6 linked regions of the Macaca fascicularis genome follow. The protein of the gene in region 6 binds, or shares a complex with, the protein of the main gene of each other region. Links are inferred from orthologs where the notes say so. Each region holds a gene or a part of one and is shown on either strand. Other genes may lie near its edges.

What was found.
Region 1: SMARCD3 (region 6) and SMARCA4 share a complex: the UniProt entries of both Homo sapiens proteins name them as parts of the BAF complex. The link is inferred for Macaca fascicularis from reciprocal best matches to the Homo sapiens genes SMARCD3 and SMARCA4.
Region 2: SMARCD3 (region 6) and SMARCA2 share a complex: the UniProt entries of both Homo sapiens proteins name them as parts of the BAF complex. The link is inferred for Macaca fascicularis from reciprocal best matches to the Homo sapiens genes SMARCD3 and SMARCA2.
Region 3: SMARCD3 (region 6) and PHF10 share a complex: the UniProt entries of both Homo sapiens proteins name them as parts of the neural progenitors-specific chromatin remodeling complex. The link is inferred for Macaca fascicularis from reciprocal best matches to the Homo sapiens genes SMARCD3 and PHF10.
Region 4: SMARCD3 (region 6) and DPF3 share a complex: the UniProt entries of both Homo sapiens proteins name them as parts of the BAF complex. The link is inferred for Macaca fascicularis from reciprocal best matches to the Homo sapiens genes SMARCD3 and DPF3.
Region 5: SMARCD3 (region 6) and SMARCC1 share a complex: the UniProt entries of both Homo sapiens proteins name them as parts of the BAF complex. The link is inferred for Macaca fascicularis from reciprocal best matches to the Homo sapiens genes SMARCD3 and SMARCC1.

What each region holds. Positions count from the first base shown.
Region 1 is NC_088393.1:11,528,765-11,532,829, reverse strand, and holds the start of SMARCA4 (transcription activator BRG1), read right to left. Parts: upstream 2,801-4,065; 5' UTR 2,625-2,800; intron 1-2,624. UniProt on the Homo sapiens protein: ATPase involved in transcriptional activation and repression of select genes by chromatin remodeling (alteration of DNA-nucleosome topology).
Region 2 is NC_088389.1:97,177,729-97,181,876, forward strand, and holds the start of SMARCA2 (probable global transcription activator SNF2L2), read right to left. Parts: upstream 2,801-4,148; 5' UTR 2,661-2,800; intron 1-2,660. UniProt on the Homo sapiens protein: ATPase involved in transcriptional activation and repression of select genes by chromatin remodeling (alteration of DNA-nucleosome topology).
Region 3 is NC_088378.1:1,310,712-1,315,001, reverse strand, and holds the start of PHF10 (PHD finger protein 10), read right to left. Parts: upstream 2,801-4,290; 5' UTR 2,728-2,800; coding exon 2,641-2,727; intron 1-2,640. UniProt on the Homo sapiens protein: Involved in transcription activity regulation by chromatin remodeling. Belongs to the neural progenitors-specific chromatin remodeling complex (npBAF complex) and is required for the proliferation of neural progenitors.
Region 4 is NC_088381.1:140,763,275-140,767,517, forward strand, and holds the start of DPF3 (zinc finger protein DPF3), read right to left. Parts: upstream 2,801-4,243; 5' UTR 2,788-2,800; coding exon 2,756-2,787; intron 2,750-2,755; exon of another isoform or gene 2,576-2,749; coding exon of another isoform or gene 2,167-2,575; intron 2,117-2,166; coding exon of another isoform or gene 2,043-2,116; exon of another isoform or gene 1,918-2,042; intron 1-1,917. Other genes in the region: uncharacterized protein, read right to left, coding at 2,043-2,116, 2,167-2,575. UniProt on the Homo sapiens protein: Belongs to the neuron-specific chromatin remodeling complex (nBAF complex).
Region 5 is NC_088376.1:110,703,931-110,708,210, forward strand, and holds the start of SMARCC1 (SWI/SNF complex subunit SMARCC1), read right to left. Parts: upstream 2,801-4,280; 5' UTR 2,705-2,800; coding exon 2,510-2,704; intron 1-2,509. UniProt on the Homo sapiens protein: Involved in transcriptional activation and repression of select genes by chromatin remodeling (alteration of DNA-nucleosome topology).
Region 6 is NC_088377.1:192,527,817-192,532,635, reverse strand, and holds the start of SMARCD3 (SWI/SNF-related matrix-associated actin-dependent regulator of chromatin subfamily D member 3), read left to right. Parts: upstream 1-1,689; 5' UTR 1,690-2,087; coding exon 2,088-2,165; intron 2,166-4,428; exon of another isoform or gene 4,429-4,665; intron 4,666-4,819. UniProt on the Homo sapiens protein: Involved in transcriptional activation and repression of select genes by chromatin remodeling (alteration of DNA-nucleosome topology).

The DNA.
Region 1 (4,065 bases), on a different chromosome or scaffold from region 6:
AAAAAAAAATCGAGTGTTCACTATGCATCAGGTGCTGCAGTGTGTTAGCGGCTTCCCATGTGACCTCATTCAACCCTCACAAGAAGCCTGTGAAGTTTCAGGCATCCTCGTCCTACCTGTTTCACAAGTGGGGGCCCTACTGCTAAGCGCCTCGTTTGAGGTTAAGCTAGGATTTCAAGAGCTGGGTGTGAATTCAGGAGGTCTGATTCCAGAATGGGTACTCCTTACCACCGCCCCACGCTAACCACCACCCCACACTTTGTAGGGGAGAGGAAGACAACTGAGGTTCGGGAAACAATGGCTTGGAAAGTTCCAAAACTGTTAAAATAACTAACCTGTATCCCTTACAACCCATGCCCAGTTCTGCACCAAGCTTTTTTTTCTCCTTTTTCTTTTTTTTTTTTTTTTTTTTTTTGAGACATTCTTACTCTAGTACCCAGGCTGGAATGCAGGGGCGCAAGAATGGTTCACTGCAGCCTCCACGTCTCTGGTTCAAGCAATCCTCCCACCTCAGCCTCCTGAGTAGCTAGGACCACTGGCACATGCCACCACACCCAGCTAATTTTTATATATTTTGTAGAGATGAGGTCTCACTATGTTGCCCAAGTTAGTCTCAAATTCCTGGGCTCGAGCAATTCCCCCACCTCAGCCTTCCAAATTGCTGGGATGTCAGGTGTGAGCCACTGCACCCCACCCTGCACCAAGCCTTTTACACAGATGGTCACGTGATCTTCCACAGGACCCCACCCCCCTCATTCAATCCACAGAATTTCTCTAAAGACCTACTATGTGTCAGGCCCAGAGTACTCTGGGGTCAGCCAGGCAGACACAACCCCAGCTCTCACGGTGCTGGGGGTGACAGCTACACCGGAAAGGACCAAGGTGATGCGTGAGTATAGCTGAGGGGAACAATGGCTAGTCCCAGGTGGCCAGGGAAAGTCAAAATACACTTCTGGCGCGGTGGCTCACACATGTAGTCCTAGCACTTTGGGAGGCCGAGGTGGGTGGATCACCTGAGGTCAGGAGTTTGAGACCAGCCTGGCCAACATGGTAAAACACCATATTTACTAAAAATACAAAAATTAGCCAGGCGTGGTGGCGGGCACCTGTAGTCCCAGCTACTCAGGAGGCTAAGGCAGGAGAATCGCTTGAACCCAGGAGGCAGAGGTTACAGTGAGCGGAGATCGGGACACTGAACTTCAGCCTGGGCGACAGGCAAGACTGTCTCAAAAACAAAATACAATCCTACATATATCCTCCCTGATTTTGAGGGCCCCTCTTTCAGGCAGCCCCCGTGATCTCTGGCTACCACCGATCCCCTGCCTGTCCGCTGTGTCCCTCTCACAGCGCAGGTCAAGAGCATTAAATGACAGGCCAAGAGTGTTTGTTCCCACGTTGACCACCCGATCCCCTCCAAGACTGCAGAGGTTCCAGGATCCAACCCCCCGACCATCCAACACTTAGTAGGACCTCAAGAAGTTATTTGCTGAACAATGAGGGAGACTGAACCAGACAGTAACAACAGTGCTTCCCACTTGCCAGGAACCATTTTACAGGCTTTTACCAACTGCATTTGGGAGATTACCCCCTTTCACAAAGGAGCTTTCACAAAGGAGGAAAACTAAGAGGTTCAGAGAGGTTAAGCACTTCCCTAAAGTGACAGTGTGCTAAGTGACTGACAGCACCAGGAATCAAGCTTAATGCACCCTATCAATCCAAACTGAAAACTTGTTTCAAATTCCTGCGAAGTGGCTTTTCCGCTTACTCCCTTTCTACTTTCCCCAAGGAGACATTGACCAAAAAAAAAAAAAAAAAAAAAAAATCAAGACTGGTGTCTTCAAGATCCGGACAAAACACTCGCCTAAAAGGTCCACGTTGAAAATAAAAGCCTTAATCTGAAAAACCAATTGGGAAGGAGGAAAAAGGATGCAAAAGAAAAGCAATGCTTTTACACAGCAAAGGATTTCCACCGTGCTCCCTTACTTGCCGCCGACCCCATCCCCAACCCCAATTCCGGGCAAACATTTTGAAGTCACTAACTGAAAGTCATTGGGGGAGTCCTTTACCTTTCCTTGAAAATCTGGAATGACGCGTTTTTAAGACAATTTGAAGTCGGCTAGCCCAAGGGGGCCGCTAATGCCCGTGTCCGGCCGACGCCGGACATATCTGGAGGTTTGGCTACTGAGCCCAGATCGTAGCTTCGCCAAAAAGGCAACATTCGGGTCGGACCCCTTAACACGCAGCCAGAAAAGCCCCAACGCCTGCCTATTGTTGGAGCCGCTGCAATTGGGAGGGCTACTGTAGGGGTGCCGGGCGAGGGGGGCGAGCTTTGTCCGGCGACCCCGGCGAGAGCGCGCGCAGAGAGGATCGCGCGGCCTCCACGCGGCCCGGGCCCCCCACCCACCCCGCCGCTCCGCGGGGACCGCCGCTGCCGCGGCCTCGCGACGCTGTGGCCTTCCCCACGAGCGCGGCTGCCGGCGGCGCTTCTTGACCCTCGGGCGCCGCCGTACCCCGGTCCCGCACAGGGCGCGCCGGCGGCCCCCTCCCCCCTCGGCGCCCCGGCTCCATTCAAACCGCCCTCCCTGGCCCCGCGCCGCGCTGCCCCCGCGGCCCGCGTTCCTTACCGGGAGCCGCCGGCGCCGTCGCCTTCCCGGCGCCGCCCCCGCCCCTCCGCGCGGGGCCGGGGGCAGAGTGGGCGTCTCGCTTCTCCTCACGAAACAAAGAAGCCGCCGCAGCCGCCAAGCGAGGGGAAGCCTCGCGCGCGCGCCCGACTGCCTCGGCCACCGCCCCCCCTTCACACACACGCGCGCCGCCCGCGCCCCCGCTACGCGCGCGCTCGCCGGCTCCCCTCCCCCTCAGCACCGCGGCGGCCTCTCCAGCTTCCGCCGCCTGCCCAGCCTTGTGCGCGCGCCAGCCCGCCCTTCCTCTCCCCCCGCGCGTGCGCGCCCGCTCCAGAGCTGACAGAGGTGGGCGTGGTCCGGAGGAAGCACGCGCGTCCCGTGCACCGCCCCACTCGGGCTGCGAGGCCTCGCGCCTGCGCACGGGCAGCTTCGCCCTCCGCACGCCGCGCGTCCTGACGCACGGGAGCATGCGCAGAGCGGGCGCCACTGCGGCGGCGACGGCGACGGCGGTGGCGGCGGGGCAATTGGGGGATGGGATCCCGGTGGCTGTGGGATCCATGGGGAAAGGAGGTTCCTGAGGCTCGGAAATAGGAACCCTGGACCGTAGGACCGGCCGCCTGGGCCAAGACCGGGCAGTGGTTTTCCGCGGACCAAGGGCGCGCTTGGGAACCGCTTTGATCCCTGATCTGGGGCGGCAAGGCCTGTTTGGGGAGCTAGGCGGGGCCCGACCGTGGCCGCCTTCTCTGCAAAACCTCCCGAGTGCCGTTAATTAGCTTAGCAAATATTTATTGATCTGCTACTGTATCTCAGCCACCGTGGATCCCACGGTCTAGTGGGGGAGGAGGACAAGAAGCAAGATTAATAAGCAAAAGAGCGCAGTGTGAGAGGCTGAACTTGGTGGCTCACGCCTGTAATCCAGCACTTTGGGAGACCGAGGCGGGCGGATCACCTGAGGTCAGGAGTTAGAGACCAGCCTGACCAACACGGTGAACCCCGTCTCTACTAAAAATACAAAAATTAGCCGGGCGCGGTAGGCCACGCCTGTAATCCCAGCACTTAGGGAGGCCTAGGCTGGTGGATCATGAGGTCAGGAGATCGAGACCATCCTGGCTAACATGGTGAAACCCGGTCTCTAGTAAAAATACAAAAAATTAGCCGGGCATGTTGGCAGGCGCCTGTAGTCCTAAACTACTCAGGAGGCTGAGGCAGGAGAATGACGTGAACCCGGGAGGCGGAGCTAGCAGTGAGCCGAGATTATAACATCGCATTCTAGCCTGGGCAACAGAGCAAGACTCCGTCTCAAAAAACAAAAAAAGAGGCCAGGCACGGTGACTCACACCTGTAATCCCAACACTTTGGGAGGCCAAGGCAGGCAAATCACAAGGTCAGGAGTTCAAGACCAGCCTGACAAATATGGTGAAACCCTGTCTCTACTAAAAATACA
Region 2 (4,148 bases), on a different chromosome or scaffold from region 6:
AGAAAATCAAATTTTTAATTAAAATAGAATCAGAAAAAGTCATAGTTTAGAAGGATGCAAATAACAGGAAAAGAGGGAAAAAAGCAGATTGTCAATGACTCTTAAAGAGAGAAATGTGTGCTATGGCAAGTGGTATTTATTGGTAAAGACCAAAGTAATTTACAATTTTTTTAAAAAAAGATGTTCATATTTTGCTTATTAGTGCTGTGAAGAATCAGTACTACAAGTGGCATGATTAAACAAGGGATGCCTTTTTTTACCTGCTTCACAAAATTATTATAAGAATTAAATGTGGTAACATATATGAAAGCAATTTGCCGATTACAAAGTTCTCCATAAATGTATAGTATTGCCAGAGCAGCCATTCCTTAGAGACTATCAACTTTGGGTCACTAATTTCTATGTGGCTTCATGGGCTTTAATTCAATGAGTTTCAGGAAATAATAGGCCTTGATCAGCGCTGCAGAATTTGCCCCCACAAGAATACCAAATATACCGCCTGCAGAGTATTTTATTTGCTTTAAAGGCCAAAGATCTTTTTCTTATTTTAAAAAATGCATAAGATTTTCTGTTTCTGAAACAATAAGTGGTACTGACATCTCTCAAGACTGAAAGCACTATTGTCTCATTTTAAGAACCACCTTCTTATTAGGAGAGGATGTTGTTGGCAGGAATGAATAATTAGGTAACTCTTTGTGGGCACATTTTCTTCAAGTCCCAAGGGGAACGTACAATTGTAACATCTCCTTGGATTATTTCACAAACATATGGCAAATGAAGCACCTGAGCCAGATGTACAAGCATATTATAGTATGTCTGTTTTAACTTAAAACTGTGAAATACATCAGATGGTGAAGTTATTTTGGTTGTGAACATCCATCATGGAAACAGCATGGAAGCATCTTTTCTTTATTGTCCATTTTACTTGGACTGGAAATAATCAAGAACAAAACAGTTTGGAAATCATCATTTGCAGTACAAGATTCCAGGTAAAGTTCAAGACCTAATGAAGTACATGGTCTGGATTTAGCTGGGCCTCAGACATCCCCACATAGTTTGTTAATGCCTGTCACCAATATTCACTGCTGGCAGGCTTGGAGTCTCAGATTACCTATGATTATTTTCAGTTCTTTTTTACCCCATCATCTTGTGTTTTTACTCCCCTAGACATGCATGTGGGTTATTTTGTAGGTATTTTTTAAATAATGAGAATATATTTTCTACTGATTCAGTAGCGAGTTTTTGCTGTTTTTTTTTAACCGTATTTTATTATTACAACATTGGTTGCTTATTTTACTAAAGAATCATCATCTGGTATTGGCTTCTTGGAATCATAGTGATCTAAGCAGAAATATCCATCCCATTTGCTTTTGAAATATATTTCAAAATGAATGGTATACTTTTTAATCTGAATTACTCATGTTTCAGAATTAGAAGCTATAGGTGCCACAGAACCCTCAAGTGTACAGTAAGAAAATAAAGAATACACAGGCACGGGCAACTATATTCTCCCTTCAATGCATATGCGCAAATTCCATTAGCATTAATGAGTTCTCTGCACATGTACTTAAGAGAATGTGGACCAAGTCACAATGTAATCTATTTCTTTATCCAAGTTAAAAAAGTGATGGGGCGGCGGGGCTTGCGTTGTATTCCTGAGCTTTTCTTGAGAATTAGAATGATACAGGGCTGAGAGCATGCAAACAGTATGGTGGCAGCGACACCAGGGAAAAGGCACTTACTTTTTACAGCCAGTATGGCATACAGCAGAGATTTGGGGGTTGAATTACTATGGTTGGCAAATGTTGAAGCTGACAATAGAGGTCCACAGAGTCCTGGATATTCTGGCTTTGTGTTGCATCAAAATAAGGAAACAAAATATTTATGAACTTAATTCTGCCTCTCATTTTTTCCCCCCTTGAAATGGCAATTCTCTGCATGATGATGTGTATAGATGTGCAGTTCAGATGTGTTCCTAGCCAACACAGCATTTCATAATGCGGTGCACCTGTGTTTTCTTGGTCACCCTGTTGTCACCAGGGTGTGTTAAAGCACCCTCTCCAAAATAATTGAGTAGGAGGCAGGGCAGGAAGTGTCAGGGAAGGGGGCAGGATCTCTCCTCCGCCTTTATTTCTAACGTCTTCTCATTTGGAAAGATTGGAATGTAGATTTAATTTCAGGTGACAATGTCAGGTTTATCCCAGTTCAGAGATGTTGATAAATCCTGGTATGGGACTGCGGTGACCCTGTGTGCCCTCATACTCTACCTATCTCACAGGGATGTAGCTGTGTTTATAAAACTCACATCTAATATTGCAGAAGTGCTAAGGTCAGGGCATCTGAGCCACACGGTATCAGGCATACAACCACACAAAACTGTGCATCACGCAGAGGCCCCCTTTGTAAAGCTGCTAACCCAAGAACCTCTCTCCCGGATCAGTGGAGCCTCCAGTGTATGAATGACCCTTAACCTTAGCAAGCCCAGCACTCTGATGAGTCTGAGAAATGCACTTTTAGCATTGGGAGAAGCCACAAAAAGCTAAACAAAATGACTAGCAATGAAGGCAGACAACAAAACAAAGATACTGAATTTGTGCCCTTACCTTCATTTCCCCCCTGAAGATTTAAATTTCTGATGGTAAAAGCAATAATATTCTGACCTTAAAGGGCTGAGGTTCTGTGGCCACCGGTTGTTTAAAGGATCATTCCTCAGCGGCATTGTATCACCGGCCCTAGCAGCGGCGGCGGTGGCGACAACCACCACAAAAACTGGAGTTCAGTCATATTGGCATCAGATTCTGGAAAGGGGAGGGCAGGGAGAAAGGGAGTCTATTGGCCTAAAAAGCTGAAACATCTGCTGGAGTTATTAACAGCTTTTTGGCTGAGTTCAGCAGCAGGGCACCTTGTGGTTGATAGATTCTTCTCTCAGCAATTCAAAACAATGCAGTTAAAGCAAATTCCTCATTTTCAGAGCCCAGCTTAATGAGGCATACAGTATTTTAAAAATAGTCACACTTAAAATGGTCAATAGCAGTGACTGCAATCAGTGGTTACCTTCAGTACTCTATTGCGTTGTTAACTTTGCCAGGGTGATTGCATAACACGGATTTTTCAAAAGACCATGTAGCTCACTGTTAACTCACTTTGTAGGAATTTACATTATTTATGAAGTTTATGCAGATCATCCTAGGGTGTAAATACTGGCAAACTTGATCAAAACCACTTAGAGGCCTCCTGGCTATCCTTTCCCAAAAGTGTGCATTAAGCCACTTTAGGCTCAGAAGTCCAATTCCAGGAAAGGTTCCAAGGGGCCAAATTTTGGAGATAAAATGAAAGGCAACATGTGAACAGCCTGAGCTGGAAAAAACACTGAGTTGGAAGTCAGGGTCGAAGGTTCTAGCTCTAGTCCTAATACTAACTGGCTGTGTGAGTCCTTGCGGGAGTCACTCAATCTTTCTGCTTCAATTTCTTTCTGTATAAATTTATGGGGCCAATTAAAGGGTATGTCTCCAAATGTTTCTGTCCAGCTCTGCCATCTTAGGAACTATGGAGCTCAAATCCAATTTTAAAGTATTCCCCTTATGATAGCCATGAATTGCAACCACACTGAAGACTGTTCACCAATATGTGACAGTATGTGTGGTATTTGGGTAGGGGCATCAGACGAACAAACTGCAAAGTTAAATAGCTCTGTCAGTCACTTCAAGTGAATGCACCATATGCTGCAACAGACGTGGGCAAAGTACAACCAGCCCCAACTGGATTTGCTAGCCTGTTAGTTTATCTGGCCAGATGACAGTGTCCAGCCCCAAAAAGGGTCATGCGCAGCTTTGCATCCTACTGATCCAGCATGCTAACTTTGGCAGAAGGAAGGGAGTGGCAAGGGAGAGAGAAGGCAGACCAGTGGTGAGTCAACATCTGTGACAGAGCTGAAGTCAGCCTCACTCCTCTTTCATCACTTGCCTAGCACATGGAAAGAGAGGAGAGAGAGTTTGCCAAGTTATTGTTTCCTCCAGCAAATACATGATCTGATCCCCAGTTGCAGAGGCAAATCACAGAATGGTGCCCTCCTTTCTGCATTCTGGTCCAAGGATCTCTAAGGACAGTGCAAGAATTCTCTATTAAACATTTTTTTCTGGTTGGTTCTA
Region 3 (4,290 bases), on a different chromosome or scaffold from region 6:
GCAAGACCTGGAATAAAATTTAAAACTGATCTTCAATCCAATCAAAATAAGAGTATTTTCAATTAACCCGTAAATGTAAATCTGCTTTTGCTTTCTTGCCAACTGAGGTTAAAATGCTTTCTGCTCTTCATAAACACATAAAACTGCTGCATCACTCTAGGATTAAAGCAAACTCTCCTACCCAAGCCCAGGGGGGAAAAAATGTATGGATCATTTACAGTTCCCAGTTCAACTTGGAGTCGGTTCATAGGACTATTTTAATTGACTAGGCATTTATGTCCCCATGAAAAGGGGACATACAAGACTGAAAACAATTCTAACTATTCACTCTTCCTCTTACATTGCTAAAGGTTAGCAAAAATATACCCTAGTAAGGGTCATCAATCTATAATATAGCAACACACACTTCAAAAAAAGAACCTTGAGAGGGGGAGGGGAATTTTTTTTTTTTAAGGAAGAGGCTTATATATTTTTAATGTAATACATTATGTGGCAAGAACATGAAGGTTATAAATTCAAACACTGCACTCAGAAAATGTATCAGATGTTAGGAAATTGATTTATTTACTTATCAGCCAAAGCTTAAGGTCTAAAAAAATCATAATTTTTAAAATGTAATATAGCTTTTAACGCTAATCCAATTTTGCTAAATATCATGGTGTTCTTGCTACATATTAAAATGAAAGGAATCCTACAAAAGAATATAAAGTGGCAATATGGTATAGTGGCCAGGCATGCCAGAGCTGGACGGCCTAGGTTCTCACTGGGCACCGTCCCTTACTAGCTGAGTAAGTTACTCTCTGTAAGCATCTCCTTATCTGAAAATTTGAGATTATAACAGAGCCCCTATTACATGGCTAATTCAATGATTAAATGAGCTACTATATTAAAAGTACTTAGAACAAGGACTAGCGAATTATCTGACAAATACTAGTTAAAATGATGATTATGATAATAAAGTCTCAAATGTCCCTAGCTCCTAGGAATTTACTGGTTCCTTTCCAAATAGTAAAATATATAATCTTTTTCAGTCCTTATAAAATTAGCATTTCATTAAAGAGCTCTGCACAGTCTAAATCTACTCTCTGAAAATTTGCATAAGTATCACAACTGCAACATTTCATATTCAATACTTTTAACATAACTCATTTTAAACATTCCAGTATTTTTTTTCTATTTTATTTGTGAGCATTTTAAGGATTTTTATGTCCTTAAACTTAAGTATATTTCCCTTTAGCTAAAAAATTGAGACACTCAAAAATATACAAAAATAGTTAAAAATGCAAAGTGCTCAAAAAAGCTGAGACTACAATTTCAAAAAGTGTTTTAAATTACTAGTACAAATTCTAGGCAAAGGCATTATTATACAAAGTGAGCATCTGGGCAGAGAGCCTTTTTCTAGAGAGAGGTAGTAACAGCAATATTGTTCCCAATACACGACGGAATAAGGTAAGAATTTCCGTGTAATCGCAATACTGATACACAGGCCCATGTTTTCAAAGACTCCCAAATGTACTAAATCAGAGATGTGCCTTCCAGAGTTATAGGTGGTTTCCACCTACGGATCAGATGAATTTCTATGCATCACGTCCTTCTTAAGGCTCAGGGGTCAAGAATGCACTCAGTGGGCACTAGCTCAGTGCCCTCCAGGTGCCGGGCCAGACGTCAAACACTGGAAGTGCAAGGCTGTGCATTCAGAGTCTTACAATCTAGTTACTTCCATTGGCGAGGGCCTTTGAGGAACCTTCAAAACAAGTCTTTCTCTTACGGCACGACAGACGTGCGCAACGGGAAAAGCTCCCGGGCAGGCGCAGCCCCGCTAGGCTGCCACAGGATGGCTTCCCCTGCCAACGCGCACACCGCACACCGCACACCGTACGAAGGCTGGCTGGCTCTGAAGCATTTCAGTTCCCGCCGCCTTCTAATTTCAACCCAATTTCAAGTTTCGAGGCTTTTAAAACATCATTCCTCCCTTCCAACCTTCTGTCACAAACTGCTAGCCTAACTTTGGAACCAAAACGTTTTGATGCGTGACACTCTACTGCTCATCTCCATTTTCTCCACAAACACCAATTTTTCACCTCCTCAAGCAGTAAAAAGTTTAAAAAAAAAAAGACTTCCGCCGAAAACATCCGGACGCTTGCGTATTTACTTAGTTATTACACTAAGTTCACAAACTGAGTGTGTTGATTTTCCATATCGTTCGCCACTCGGTTTTTTGCAGTAAGCTTTCAAACACTTCAGCAAACTATGCGCGGAATGAAGACTGAGCGAACTAGCGCGCTTCTGCAGGCCCCTCCGAGGCCAACTCTTTCGGCCCCGGACGCGTTCCGTTCCGCGGCTAGCCCCGGAACAGGCGTTTTGGGGACAAGCTTGTCAAGCGGGGCCGGCCGCCAACTTCGGGGAAGCCGCGCCGCGTCCCCCGCCCGCCCGCCCGCCCGCCCGCACTTGTTGCTCGCTAGAGGCCGCGGGCTCCCCTCGGGGCCCCGCCTGGCCGACCACCCCCGGTTTCAGGCGCGGAGCCCGGCCTGGGGCCCACGCCCCCGAGACGCTAGGCGGCCGCCGGTGGGACTGGGCCGAGGCCCCGGCACACGGGCCCCGGACGGGGTCAGGGTCGGGTCGCACCGGCCGCTTCCTCACCTTCGGGGACTGCGCTCCGGGGGTAGCTGGGTCGCTGTCGCACGGCCGCGGGGACAGCGCAGCCCCGGGCCCGGCCGCCGCCGCCATCAGCCCGAGCGCCCCGCGCCGCCGCCGACGCCGTCGCCTCCGCCTCGTCCCGGCCGCCGCCGCCGCTGCCGCCGCCGCCGCCGCCGCCGCGCGGGCCCCCCGCCGCCCCGGCCCCGCCCCCTCCGCCCGCCCGCCCGGGGGCCGGCCCCTGCCGCCGCGCGCCCCGCGGCCCGCCAGCGCCGCCGCCACCGCCATGGCCGCCGCCAGCGCGCTGCCCGCGCGGGAGGGCGCCAGAGGCTGGAAGGGCGCGGGGCTGCGGGCCGGAATGGAGGAGGCCAGGCGGCGGCGGCGCTTCTCTCGTCAGCCCAACCCGCCCGGCCGCGGCCGCCGCCTCAGCACCGCCGCCCCCCACAGCTCCGCCGATGGCCTAAGCGCCGCTGCCCCCCCCACAGCGCCGCCGCGGCTCCCTTCAGCCCCGCCGCTCGCTCGCCTCAGCGCCACCGCCGCCTCAGCCCCGCCGCTCCCCTCAACCCCACAGCCGCCTCAGCCCCCCTGCTCCCCTCAGCCCCGCGGCCGCCTCAGCCCCGCCGCCGCCTGACTCCCCACGGCCCGGCGCTGTACTCGACCGCGGCTCCCCCCAGCCCGCGGCGCGCCCCACCTCCCGCCCGCCCTCCGGCCCGCCCCGGCCCGGCTCGTCGCCACTTGGCGCGCTCGCAGCCGCCCCCTCCCCGCGGCCCCCGGCCCGGCCCCTCCACGCGTCACCCTCGCTCCCTTCCTCTCTCCCGGTGGCGCCCGCCCTGCCCTGCCCCGCCCCGCCCCTCCGGGGGTCCCCGCCCCACCCCCTCCCTGCCGGGGGTCGCCCTGCTCGGAGCAGCCGCGCGGAGACTGCGCGGCCTCCGCCTCCGTGCGCTCGCAGTCGTCGCTCCTCGCCCGCCTTTGTTCTCGGACCGCCCCTCTCGCTGGCGACGCTCCGAGAGAGCCGCGGAGCCACCTGCCAGGGCCGCGCTTCCCCGAGCATCCAAAGCTGTCCCCGCGGGCTGTCGACGCCCGCGCCGGAGCGTGCGGGAGGCACGGCGGGAAGAAGTCGCTGAGATTTGGCCCTCGCGGCTTTGCGTTCCCGCGTGGTTGATGCCTCCGCCGAGAACGCGGTCGGCCGGGAGCCGGGGAGGAGCCTGGACGCCGGCCTGGCAGGTACCCCCGCGAGAACGTGGGAGCCGGTGGGTTTCAGATGCATTTATTACTGATGTCGGGCTGCATCAGGGCACTTCTAGGACCGCACTGAAAACAGCGGGAAGTGAGGAGCCGAGCCTGGTCCGGGGCGGCCCGCCATACAGCTGGCTTGCGTCTCCAGATGACTTGTTCTGGAGAGTAAAAAATGCTGTCGGATTTAAAGTACAATCCTGTCTCCTTTCCATTCATTAGTGTTGCCTACACTCAGCAAACAAAAGTTGGGAAAGATGAGGGGAGTATTTCTAGCGCATCACATTGACAAACACCGACGTTAACACGCCCGGTCCAGCCTGGCCCACTTGCCTCAGGTCTGAGAGGTCACCACTGACAACGCCCGGACTTCAAGCCACTCCTAATCCAGCTTCGTTCTCTCCGCCGCAGCCAGACCAGCCC
Region 4 (4,243 bases), on a different chromosome or scaffold from region 6:
TTTGTGTGACCATTTTCTGTAGGGGGCGTCCGTGGTGTTGGCTTTTTTTTTTTTTTTTTTTTTTTTTTTTTTTTTTTTGGAGGGAAGAGAGAGACTCAGAACGCACACAGAGAAAATGCTAATGTCATTCAGCTCTGTTTCATTGTCAGGAGGGACACATGAGGATAAAAACATAGCTCTCCAAACCATTCTCTCCGCTACCCCTCCTCCCTGCACCACCACCATCCCTTCGGCTGGATGTGTCTCTGCACTTTGTTCTAATTTATCCCATGCATAATTTATTCACGTTTGTATTGTTTCCTGATCAGCAACTTTTAAAAACAAATGAAATATATAAGATGTTTTATTAAACAAGTTGTTTAAAAAAAAAAAAAAAGGCAGATGGTGTCCGTCTCCCAATAACAACGTGTGTGCTCCTGCATTAGGAGTTAAAAACTGTCCAGGGTGTGAGAGGCTGGGCTGGTCAGGGGTATTGTTTACACCCCTTTACCCCCAGGGAAAGGGTCTGGGAAGCAGAAAGGAATGGCTAATTATAAATGACCACTCAACTCCCACCTAGAAAAAGCAAGCAGGGGCGTTGTGTGTATGCTAGTGTGTGCATGCGTGTGGCGGCACAATTACAAATACATCACATTGCAACTGTTTCTAATTATACAAAGTACAATTCAGAACTAATTCCCCTAACCAGCCGGGATTCCGCCACCTTCTTTCCCCCCCGTCTGTCCCTTCCCCCACCCTTAACCCCACCCTACACAGACTCCCTCCCCAAACGCGCACCCTACTGTGATCCAAAAAAACCCTGGAGCGAGCAGGGGAACACTGAAGCTTAGAGATACTGCGCCCGCCCGCGCGAAAGCGGGCTCCCGGGTAACTAGGGTACGGCTTTCCCAGTAGGAAACAAACCTGGTGCACATGTGAAATAGATTCTCTAACTTGAGTTTACCAGGTGGCATCAGCCTGGTTATGTGATTTCGGCTGGATATGGGGAAACTGCAAATCAGTTGTGGGTTCGGTAGAGACAGCATCAGCGGTGTTGCAGCGAAAGCAACCGGCAGCGAGGATGCGGCGAAGTTACGCCCATTTATTCTGCCATAAAACATTTTCTTTCTTGGATGAAACGCTGTGGCGTTCAAGTGCAGTGTATCCGAGCTTCCGAGGCAGAACTGAAGCCGGGAGCTCCTATCTGCTCAGCCTCAGCTTCCAACGTCCTCTTAACGGCAGCTTTCATATAAATATCTTTGAAACCTGGGGCATTCCTACCCGTTTCCCTATTTCTGGTGGGCGACGAGCTGGTGCAAACACGTCTGATTCTCCCTGTGCATTCCTTTGCGTTAGGAACCCCCCTACCGTCTCCGGGAGCGAACCTGGTTTTCAACTCCAGGAGTGGCGAGGGGTGAAGACGAGAATGCGCTGAATTAAAAGAAGCAGGGTCGACAGTGGCCACGCACCAGGGAGAATTCGGCACGAACCGCCCCCTACCCGGCCCGCACCTCCCTCTCCCCCTCTTTGCCTGCGGCTTCGTCCGGGCGGGGAAGTCCCGGTCGAAGGGGTGCGGACCCCCAGCCCACCTCGAATACGGAGGGAGCCACCCTCTGCCGACATCACCCAATAGCACCCCTTTCAGAGCGACACTAGTTTTCCGAGGCCACCCTTGGCTCCGCGATCGCGAGCGGACTTGGCGGCTTAACAGTTCCACCGACTGGAAGGAAGGAAGGAAGGAAGCCAGGATGAAAAGGAGGAGGAAGGCAGGCAGGCAGGCAGAAATTGGCTGTTGGACCCGGGGCTGGCCCCCGCGAGTGCTCGTCCGGCCCGCCCCACTCTGTCCAGGATCTGGACAAGCGCTCAAAGTCTCCCCGGGGCGGCCAGAGGCACCTGCCCCTCGCCCGGCCGGGAGCAGACGCTGCCCCCTCGGGCCAGGAGCCCCAAAACCGCCTCTCCGCCTGCCTCGGCGCCTCACCCAGAGGTGGCGAGAACACCATTCATAAGACCTGCGGCTTCCCTGCCTCCAAATCCACCCCAAGTTAACCCGAGTCGTTAATCCACTACAGCCAGGTTGCTCGCAAACACACGAGCAGACACACGCGCGGTCGCCCGGAGCGCCTCCGAGATCCGGGGGCTGCCGGGGAAAGCCCGGGGCGACCACCTGGGACCCAGCGCGCCCGGGACCCGCTGCTTCCCCCGCGGTGCTCCCAACTCCGGAAGGTTTGCACAAACTCCCCGCGAGCGATCGGAAGGCGAAGAGCGCCCTGCAAACTCCGGAGCCTCCGCGGTGCGTCCGCCGGACCCAGCAGACCCAGCGGCGGGGCGGGGGCCGCGGGCTTGGGGGTGCAGGGCTCGGCCAAGTGCACCGAGGCAGTCCCGGCCCGACGCTCGCCCCCCGCCCGGCCGCCCCCGGAGCCTCGCTCCCTGCCCGCGAGGCGGGGGACTCCAGGGACCGCGCTGTCCCCGAGCTCCCGCGACCCCCCTGCTGTAGAGCGCTCGAGCGCCGGGCTCCTCCGCCGGCAACCCCTATCTCTCGCTCTCTCTGCAATTTAGCAGAACACAAATGTAACAATTTTCTTCTTGTTAATTGCATCTCCTGACATTTCTGCGCGTTGGGGGAAAAAAAAGAAGTAAGAGCTGAAAGAAGAGAGAAGCCCCGCCGCGGCTGGAGGCGCCTGCAAGCGCAAGCACTGGCAGCGCTCGCCACGCAGAAGGCGCCTTTTTTTTCATATTGAAACCACGCGGAATATGTACATTTTTTAGTCTTACTTACGCTTTCAGGGGGTTGTGAATGACAGTCGCCATTTTGCTACAATGTAACAGAATATTGTCTGTCTCAGAGTTCTAAAGGTTCGCTCAGGGGAAGCGACAGGCCAATCAGAGCGCGGGATACCGGCCCGCCGGCCAATCGGCGCGGCTGGTCGCCAGGTGGGCGGGGCCTGCTCGGTGGTAGTTATTAGGGGAGCTGTCAAAGCCCAGAGGTCACTCCCTTTTGTAGAGCCCGAGAGCCAGCAGGTCTTAAAGGGGAAGTACCGCGTTGGCAGCTCCTTTTCGGGCTGGGGAAAGTGGAGACGCACGGGAGAATATTATAGTTTGGTTCAACTCCCTACTTTTCTAAATAACTGCAGAGTTTGCGCTCCTGGACAGAAATATTTCAATATTGCCAGCAAGCCACTGAATCCTATTCATTAGCTTTTGGCTTTGCATATCAACATTTTTAATCCCCCAAAGGGTAAATCCCCGTGTTTCAGTACAAAAGTTGGAAGGCTGCCGCTTCGTGTAACAAATTACTTCGTGTGCTTTGCCGTTTGCTAATGCTCTGGGTCCTGCTGCTTTTTAATATTCTTATTCCCGAAGTGTTCTCTTTATCTCCGCCACCTTCCTCTCTCGCTTCTTGGAACTGCCGCTGCTGTTCCTGGCGACTCCAGGACAGCAACTCACCCTCCCCCTGGAATGCCTCAATGTCAGGCTCACTCCCTCCTGCAGCCAGGGCTTTCTTTACGTAGTGCAGGGGGGTTACTCTGCGCGGTCCGCCGCTACCACCCCTTCTGTTCTGCTCCCTACACCAGAAACTTCCAAAATGCTCAGATTCCTGCTCGGTGGTGCGACCTGGAGCTCTGACCTTTAGGCTTAGAGGTAGGGAGGACTTGAGGCAACCTTTGGAAACTTTCTACTACTAGGAAGCAAGTGCCTAGGCAGAAGTCGTAGAGCCTGGACTGGGTGTTGTCAGAGTCCCTTTAGAGGAGTGGCACACGCGATTCTGACGTCACCTTTCACTACTTAGAAGGTGGAAAGAATTTGCTAGTGAATAATCCGATGTGACCCGAGGCGTCCAAAGAGTCTGTGTCTGCTTCAAGTCAGTGTGAACTCTTCACTGGCGAGCCCCTGACAAAATTGGGAGACTTCTGCGAAGTCAGGCTTCCACTGGGCACCGGGAAGCTCTGCGTGGATGAAACCGCATTAAATCGAGAATAGGGTAGGGGCCTCGTTAGCATACAGAAGTCTGGCTACCATTCCAAAGCTGTTTAATCAGGTCAAATAGCTAAGATAGTGGGGGAGGGGTGGCAAGGGGAGAGAAGTTGCCAAATTGCCAGTTCAAAGCTATGCCCTCTCGCTTCCTTTTGCTCCTCTCAAGACAATGAATAAAATAAAATAAACATTCCAGAATTTCAAGAGTTCAACTACATACGCTATTAGATTTACAGATAAACAGAAAGTGACTGAATAACTGTTTGTAATAGATTTGAAATCTTTAACTCCT
Region 5 (4,280 bases), on a different chromosome or scaffold from region 6:
AATGCATTGTGTAGAAAAGAAGCAAAGAACCTTCTGATAATATTTTCACCACTTCGACACTAACACCCAGAGACTGAAAAGATTCTGGCTGTCAGGCCTAGGGCATATATGATTCTCAATCTCAGTAGACCACAGAAATACACTCTGGCTTTACAAAGTCCTGAGAAGTCAAAGACAACTTTGTCTATAAAGTCTCAGGGATAGTGAATCAACATTAGCCTAGTGGTCTCAATACTACTGGGCAATTCTTCAAACTGCTTTGTAGCCACTTCCCTACCCACCCAAACAAATATCTGAAGATGATTATCCACACCTAAAGCTTCTTGTAGTTGGTCCCAAACTGATGCACACTGAACAGTGTGGAGAGGTAGAAATTACTGAAATTTGCCTTTTTCTACTCTCTTCCTTGATATTCAAAGGAACATCTCTAGATTATTTTTCTTTGTTAAAGCTTCACTGAATTTAAGACCCAAAGCATTGGCTAAAAGGAATGTAATAAGAAAGAATTAACCAATATTTTCATAACATATTCAATCCCACTAGCCACTCCTGGAAGCTCTATTACCTACGTTTAAAAAGCGCGGTGGCTCACGCCTGTAATCCCAGCACTTTGGGAGGCCGAGGCGGGCGGATCACGAGGTCAGGAGATCGAGACCATCCTGGCGAACACGGTGAAACTTCGTCTCTACTAAAAATACAAAAAAATTAGCCAGGCGTGGTGGTGGGTGCCTGTAATCCCAGCTTCTAGGGAGGCTGAGGCAGGAGAATGGCGTGAACCCGGGAGGCGGTGGAGCTTGCAGTTAGCGGAGATCGCACCACTGCACTCCAGCCTGGGCGACAGACCGAGACTCCGTCTCAAAAATAAAATAAAATAAAATAAAAAGTGACCAATTTATCACTGTGTAAGAAAGGGCAATATTACTAAACATCTAGAGTCTAAATGTAATTTGGGGGGGGGGTCCAAGCACCTAAAAATATAATTACTGTCTCTCACTTCCTCAAACTTCAGACAAGAAATGTAATTTTTCCCAGCTGAACTTCCAAAATAAAAAAGAAAGAAAGAAATGGTCATTTCTGGGGTTTGTTTTTTGCTTGTTTGTTTTTGTTTTTTGAGACAGAGTCTTACTCTATTACCCAGGCTGGAGTGTAATGGTGCGGTCTCGGCTCACTGCAGCCTCTGCCTCCTAGGTTCAAGCTATTCTCCTGCCCCAGCCTCCCGAGTAGCTGGGATTACAGGCGTGTGCTGCCACACCCGACTAATTTTGTATTTTTTGGAAAGACGGGGCTTCACCATGTTGGTCAGGCTGGTCTCGAACTCCTCACTTCAGGTGATCCACCCGCCTCGGCCTCCCAAACCGCGCCCGGCCAGAAATGGTCATTTCCGAATGTACCACGTGTAATGCCAAAGGAACCCAAGATCCCTGCCCATGCCTAATAACTGCCAAACACTGACAGGCTTCACTGAGCTGTAAAGGCCAAATAAATAGGTTCCTAGTTTATCTTTTCATTCATTAAACAAATATTTACTAAGCAGCTACTAAGGGTAAGGCACTAAGTATCAGCCACGTTCCCGGATACACTGTAGTGAACAAAGCCCTTTCTTCAGTGCTATGATCCTCAATAGGAGAAAGTACAGAATTAAAGAGGGTGATAGGAAAACTTCAGAGGCTGGGGAGCCTTTTTGACTACCTGCTTCATTACACCCTTTAAGGGAGTTCTCCGGAATATTTACACAAAGGGGAAGTTGGAGAAAAAAAAAATGTTATAAACAAGGGATTAAGTCAAAACTTTGAAAACTACTGACTCGGCGGAACTTCCATTCCAAAGGTAGGATAAATAAGTAAATGACTAATTTCAAAATGTGGTAAACACTACGAAGAAAATAAAGGTGACATAAGAAAAGTGCTCTAATAAAAACTGGGTTCTCGGAAGGCCTCCCTGAAGAACACTTTACGTACAAGTGAACATTAACTCTCACGCCACACAGAACCAGAAGCACAATGAGGTAGAAACCGTCGTTAATAGCTCTCATCCATCCTAGAATTCACATTACCTGTTAGTAATTAACGAATACAATCATCCCAGTCGTTTAGCAAATCAACAACAGGTAGCAAACCCCCTCGAGACTTTGAATACTCTCTAAACAAAACTTGAAGCTGCTTTTACCACGCTTGCTCGGTCTTTAGGGATCATTGTTCATACACCTAAGGCAGCTGACAAAAGAGAGTCACACTCGCCTAGTGGCTGAGCTCGACCTGCTCTGGCACACGAGACTGAGCAGGGGCTTTCGCCAGGGGTGCGTGGGCTCACAAGAACAAGCGCCTGACCCGTCAGGCCACCGGCGCGCGGGCGCCCAGAGCGGACGGCGGGGGCGTGGCGGGCCCTGCGCCTGCCTTTGTTGTCCCTCGTGGCGTGCGGGGGGGAGGGGAGGCCCGAGGCCCGCGAGGCCAGATGCCGCCTCCGGCCCCAGTCGCGTGGTCTCCCGGCCCCCATGGGCGCGCGAACCCACCTTCTTGTAGTGCTTGCCCAGCCAGACCCGCACCGAATCCAGCTGGGACACCGTCTCCGGGCTCTCCCAAAACTTGGTGGCCGGACCCCCATCCTTCCGCCGATAAACGGCTAGGCCTGCGGCTACCGCCGCGGCCCCCGAGCCCGTGGCGCCTACCGCTGCCCCAGGCCCGCCGCCGCCCGCCGCTGCGGCCATCGTCGCAGCCCGTCGTCCCCACAGCCTGGCCCACCCCAGCCCTCGCGGTGTTTCCCGTTCGTTCCCGCGCGCGCCCGCGCGCGCGTAGCCGCCACTGCCGCTTCCCGGCCCCGCCCAGCCAACCCCCTTCCGGTGCGGACGCCCGGCCCCGCCCCCTCTCGGGACTGGCGCCGTATCCGACGCGAGCCCGCGCATACGCATGCGCAGCACTCGTGCGGGCGCGCCTTGGACTAGCACGTCCAGCCGCCTCTTCCGCCAGCCTCTGTAGGCTCCGTTCTCCCCTAGTGAGTGCCGGTTATTGAGCCATGCTCTTCCCTCGCTACCGACGTCGAATCGTTATGCGGTTAACAACCGCAGGTTGATTCTGTGTCATAGCCTGCCTCCGCTGAAGGGAAAAGGTCTGGTGCGAGAAGTGCCGAGGGGAAAGCCTGCCTAGGGTATCGAGTGCGCCGGGCCCGGCTTTCCCTTAGACCCTCCACCCCCAGCGGCCCGGCGGCATTTGGGAAGAGCCATCTGGGACGCCCACGCCAAGGCTTTTCGGCTTCACAGACCTTCCACTCCCTCAGGGGTCCAGCCACAGCGGCTCATTCCTGCCCCCACGGGCCCTTGCATCGGCTGTTTCGGAGACCTCAGCGGGTCTTCCCTTCTGATTTTCACTTATGAGACGCGTTCAGATTCACTGGTTCAAAGGACTTCAGAAAGCCGTTGTCATATCTTACAATCTTGAACTGTTCACACCCATACACTTTCTGCGTAGCGCTTACCATGACCCGGTGTTTTTAGTTTCTCATTTACCTTCCACATAAATTACATGAGAACCTAATCTTAACTTGTTCACAGGTGTATCCTGAACACCTGAGACAATGAATACATGTACAGTGAATACTTGATGAATTAATGAATGGCCCATATAGAAGCCGAAAATTTTTAAATTATCAAGGTATGATTGGCCGGGCGTGGAGCACTTTGGGAGGCTGAGGCGGAACGATCGACTGACCTCAGGAGCTCTAGACCGCCACGCCCGTCCCCGTCTCTCCAAAAAAGTACAAAAAGCAGCCGGGCATTGTGTTGCAAGCCTGTGCTCCTAGCCTCTTGGAGGGCTGAGGTGGGAGGATCGCTTGAGCTGGGGAGATGCAGGCTGCTGCAGTGAGCTATAATCGCGCCACTCACGACACCATCCTGGGCGACAGAGCAAAACCCTGTTTCAAAAAGTACGACTGGCCATAATGGAGTTGTGAACATAATGCTATATGATCTCAGAGAAGCAAGTAACTAATTGCTTATGAGAAAGTGACTAACTGCTGATAAGGTTTTGAGACCTTTTAAAAATGAGGGTATGTACGTTTTCAGGATCTCCTGAGGGCTGTGTCACGGACAGTAAAATATATTAAATAAAAAAATGAATAGAATGTGATCAGGAGGGCCAGGCGAGATGGCTCACGCCTGTAATCCCAACACTTTGGGAGGCCAAGGTGGGCTGATCACAAGGTCAGGAGTTCGAGACCAGCCTGGCCAACATAGTGAAACCCCGTCTCTACTAAAACTACAAAAATTAGCCACGCGTGGTGGTGCATGC
Region 6 (4,819 bases):
AGAAAAATCTTTGCATACAAGTAGGACCAGGGAAGGCTTCCTGGAGGAAGTGGGGCCTGGGCTGGGCTTTAAAGGATAGATGTGATTTGGACAAGCAGAGGGAAGGCAGAGGGCAGACAAAGGACATTCCAGGTAAAAGAATCGTGGGCAGGGGCTAAGAAATGGGAGTGAGCAGGGATTTTGGAGGTTAGCAGGCAGACTGGACAAGTCACTTCCCCAGGTTCCCAGCAGCTACCTGCATGACCTGTGGCAGACAGAGGCAGGCCACCCACCCATCCCCACCCTGTCAGGGCCCAGGCTCTGTGTGTGGGTGTGGAGGGGGGGTCTAGGCTAAAGCCCTGGGAGAGATTTGGCAGCAAGGGTATCTCTAGGTCCCCTTTCAAGCTAGGGGTGGTAGAGGAGCATCCTGGACCAGATGCCCTCCCTGACATTTCAGATTGACAGTGGACACCCAAATGAACAGTGACAGCCAAGAGCACAACCAGGGCCAGCAGAAATCAGGCTGCAGGCAGAAAAGACCCCTAGGCAAAGGCATTCTGAAGGGTTTAGGGTCAGGACACTTCAGTCTTCAGGACACAACTTCAAATAAGTGTTTCAACAAACTCCCCTAGGCACTAGGCTATGGCCCTGCCTTCACCTGGATTCTCACAGTGAGGCCCCAGCAGGCCCCCAAACTTGACCCAAGGGGCCTTGTTCCAAAGCCCACGGGCTCCTCCCCCAGAAGGAGGGAAAAGGGGCGTGGCCTTTGGGGACCTGGGTAGGCCCAGGGCTCCCAGCCTGGGTATGTCAGGATTTGCCCCTCCTCCTTCCGGTCCCTCCTCCACTCCAGGGACTGCCAACTCCTTCCACACGCCCCTTCTGGGGCTCCCTTGCCACCCCACCCCACACCGCAGCCTCAAGATCCCTCTCTTTGGGGTCTTGAGGCCGGCCCAATATACCCACTATACCCAGCCCAGCTGCCCCAACTCCTCTGGGTCCCCTAACCCCACTCCACCCCCACCCCAAGAAAACCAAGCTCGGCTTGCCTCGTTCTCTCCATGCACCCACCCAAGCACCCCCTTGGCGCTGCGCCATTCCCCACATTCATTCTCTTCCTGTTCTCATGAACACAATCCCTGTCCCTCTTTCTGAAATACTTCCCCTATTGCCCTCACTTTCTCACAGAACGGCAAACAAAGACTCACATACCCAGAAATAGCCTTGCACAGAGCTGAAAGGCACAGGCCACGTCCTGCCACACACGCAGGCGCGCGCACGGAGGCTGTCGTGGAGGGAGGCACACAGACAGGGCGTCTGTCTGCACGCACATAAGCTGACACACCACAAAAGGGCGCGGACACACACGGCGTGTGAGACAAGGGCACACACAGCTGTGGACGCAGGGCCACGCCGCCGCCCGGGCACACCCACCGCCGCCGGCCCCGGGCAGGCGCGAGGCCTCGCGGGCCGGGCTCCCCCGGTTCCTGCCAGCGAATGTTTCCCTGCTCGGCCTGCCAGGTCTCTGGGGAAAGGGCCTCAGAAATGCAGCAGGAGCCCGCTGGGGGAAAAGTTGGAACTGACTGTTCCCTGCCTGGCGCGGCCGGCGAATTCCCTGACGGAGAAACTATTTGTGGCGAGAGCCGGTGGCCGGCGACCCCCCGCCGCCTCCCCTGGCGTCCCCTCCTCGCGCCGCCTCCCGCGGGCCTCGGCGGCTTCGGGCTGCAGCACTGCTGCCCAGCGCCCGCGGCCGGGCTGGTCGGCGCGCCTCGCCGCTTATCTGCGCTGTTTGGACAGCGGGCTTGGAAAGGCAGGCGGCCCCGTCCCCGCCGAGTCAACAGGCAGACCCCGGGCCGCCGGACTATTTCTGTCTTATCAGTGCAGGAATGCGGCAGCCGCGGCCGCGGCGGCGGCGGCGGGCGGGCGGCGGCGGCGTGGGCCGTGGGCCGTCAGGGCAGCCCTGAAGGGGCCCCCTCCCCACTCCGCTCGAGTAGAAGTGTGAGAGAGCCCAGCAGGACTCAGAGGGGAGAGTTGGAGGAAAAAAAAAGGCAGAAAAGGGAAAGAAAGAGGAAGAGAGAGAGAGAGTGAGAGGAGCCGCTGAGCCCACCCCGATGGCCGCGGACGAAGTTGCCGGAGGGGCGCGCAAAGCCACGAAAAGCAAACTTTTTGAGTTTCTGGTCCATGGGGTGGTGAGTGGGGGAAAGTTAGAGGGGGAGGGCGAGCGAGCTGGCTCGGGCTGAATGGAGGGCTGATCGGGAGGGGCCGGGAGGGCACTCCCGCTCTCCCACCCCTCTAGTGGGGGGCGCCATGGCCCACGGCCCGGCTCCGGGACTGTGCTGGCGCCCTGGCACCCGAACACGTCGCCAGGCGGCCGGCCGGGTCTGGTGCGAGGCGGGGAAGGGAGGCGTTTGCATGGCTCTTGTCAGGGGCGGGGGTGGGACTTGGGGACTCTCCCCCCCAAGTGGGGAGTCCTCGCTGTAGCCGACAGGTTGACTTTCGTTCTTTTCCTTGTGGGCCCAGGTGTTGCCCCTGCCCTGGGGGTGGGGGTGGGGGATGGGGACATGGCAGAGGCTGGGCTGGGCTGTCTGTTCATCCGTTGGGACAGTGTCACTGCTTGTGTCTCCGGAGCAAGGAGCAGGTGACCCTGGAGGCACTGTAGTGGGAAGCTCGCAGGCTGAGCCACCTCTGCATCTCAGCGGGAGGGCTCTGGAGCTTCTGCCTCAGGGTCGGGGAGAGGCCCGCTCTAGGGACTTAGCCCAAGTTAGGGGTTCTGAGGGTCCCCTTGGCGGACTCAGCCACCAGAAGCTGATGTCCTTAACTCCTCGAAGGTGTGAAGGAAGGGCTGGAGTTGGGGATGTGAGGCCTAGAGACCGAAGGGACAGGGGAGCACTGTCCTGCCACAGGCAGGCTGCAAAGGCACGTGGGAGCCCGGGAGGCTGGAGCTGAGTCAGTAGGGCCTGGCTGGGAGGGGTGTGGAGGGGTGTGGAATGGGAGAGGCAGGGGCTGCGACTCTTGAGATGGGTGAGGGGGTGGAGGCCCTGTGTAGAAGAAGCTGTCAGGTTTACTATGGCCAAATTTGGTTGTGACCCCAAGGAAGGCACCTTCTCAGTAAGACCAGAGTCCCTAGGATTTTGGCCTTTCATGGGGGTGGGGCTGGAGGTGGGCACAGCTCTCTGGGGGCTCTGGAAGCCTCCCTCTCAGGGCCTCTTCAGCAGAGGAGCCAGTATCCCTGGCCTTGATAACTGGGGAGAGCAGCTGACAGGAAGAGGGGGCCTCCCTGGAGTAGCCCATCCTCCAACCCCAGGGACCCCTGGGGGTAACTTCCCAAAGTGTCCATGTCAGCTAGCTGAGTTACCAATCCTAACCTGGCTGCTGGTGGGAGCCCCTTTAAAAAGGCCCATCTAGTGGGGAGAGGCTGCACACGTGGACTTTTTTTTATCTGGCCAACTTAGAGCTTCAGTTATTGAGTGACTGTGAGCCCCAGTGCCCCATCTAGCTGGTGGCCAGGCCTGGGTTCCATTCTGGGCCGCTACCCTGGAGGCGTGAGTGACAGGGTCAGGTGGGGTGAGGGAAGCAGACACATGGACAGGCAGGTTTCACTGCAGGAGAGATAGGCAGAGACAGCTGCTGACCGAGGGTGGGAGGACATTAGGGTTAGACACAGAGCCTGGAGGGCCAGGAGGAGGTAGCAGTTGGAAGGAAAACAGCAAGCCCAAGGGGCCCCTCCTCATGCCTGGGGATGAGGTGGGTGATGTGTCCATGTTAACAGGGCCAGGGTCTGCATCCCCTGCCCTCTGATCGTCTTCCTGCTCTCGTGGTCCCAGTCCCCATCCCACCCCACTCATTCTGTTTCACAGCCCCTGAAACTCTCTCTGGCCCTCCCCATCTCCCTTCTGGAGTCTGGACAAGTGGGGTTTGGAACACTTCGCTCGATGCATTTGCATCTCATTTACACCCCATCTGACCACCCAGGGGTAGTGGCAAGGGAGGAGGAGCCGCCTCCTCTCAGTCTCCACAGCCCCCTGAACCCTGACTGCTGACCTTGCTGGGGTGGGGATGGGAAGAGGAGGAGGTGGCTGCTGACCTGGGCAGACAGGAAGGGAAATGTGAGTGGAAGTGTCACTGCCCTGACCCACCTCAGGCCCCCTGGGCAGCCCACCTCCAACGCAGCTCCCCTCCTCCCAATCAGATAATCCTGGCAGGGTCTGGGGTGCCCCCAAAGGCTGCCCTTGCCTGCCCTGCCTCCAGCCCTCACCCTGGGAGCAAATTATGAGGGCAGCTTAGACCCTGGGTCAGCGAAGACCCTGGGTGTGGGGACTTGGAGTCAGTCGAGGGGAGTGGGGTTTGGGACCGAAGGGTCAAAGCAGGGAGCAGAGTGGCTGAGATGAGGAGCTAGTGAGTGCCAGGCAGAACCGCCCAAGAAGTGAAGCCTGAGAAGGAGGAGCAGGAGGAGGAGCAGAAGTCGGAGCAGGGAGCCGGGTACCTGACTTCAACCAAGCTGCAGAGAGCAAAGCCCTGGGCCCCCAGGAGGCAGCCCTTCAGGGGTTGGCCGGGCCTGGATGAGCTGTGTGACCTTGGCGAGGTCGTTTTTCTCCTTGAGCCACAGTGGCCCCATCCGTCAAGTGGGGATGAAAGGACCTGCTCAGACTGTCTTGTAGAGGAGCATGTGGATGTGAACATCTTTGAAAGGTTGAAAGAAGCCATTAATATTCATTTTTGCGGTACCTTCCGTAGCCCCGAGGCTCGCAATGCCCTGTGCGGTGCCTGGCTTCAGTTAGCTTCCTACAGCCAGACGCCAAGCCCCTCCGCCAGAGCCGCGCGTATTCCGGCGCCCCTGCCCCTC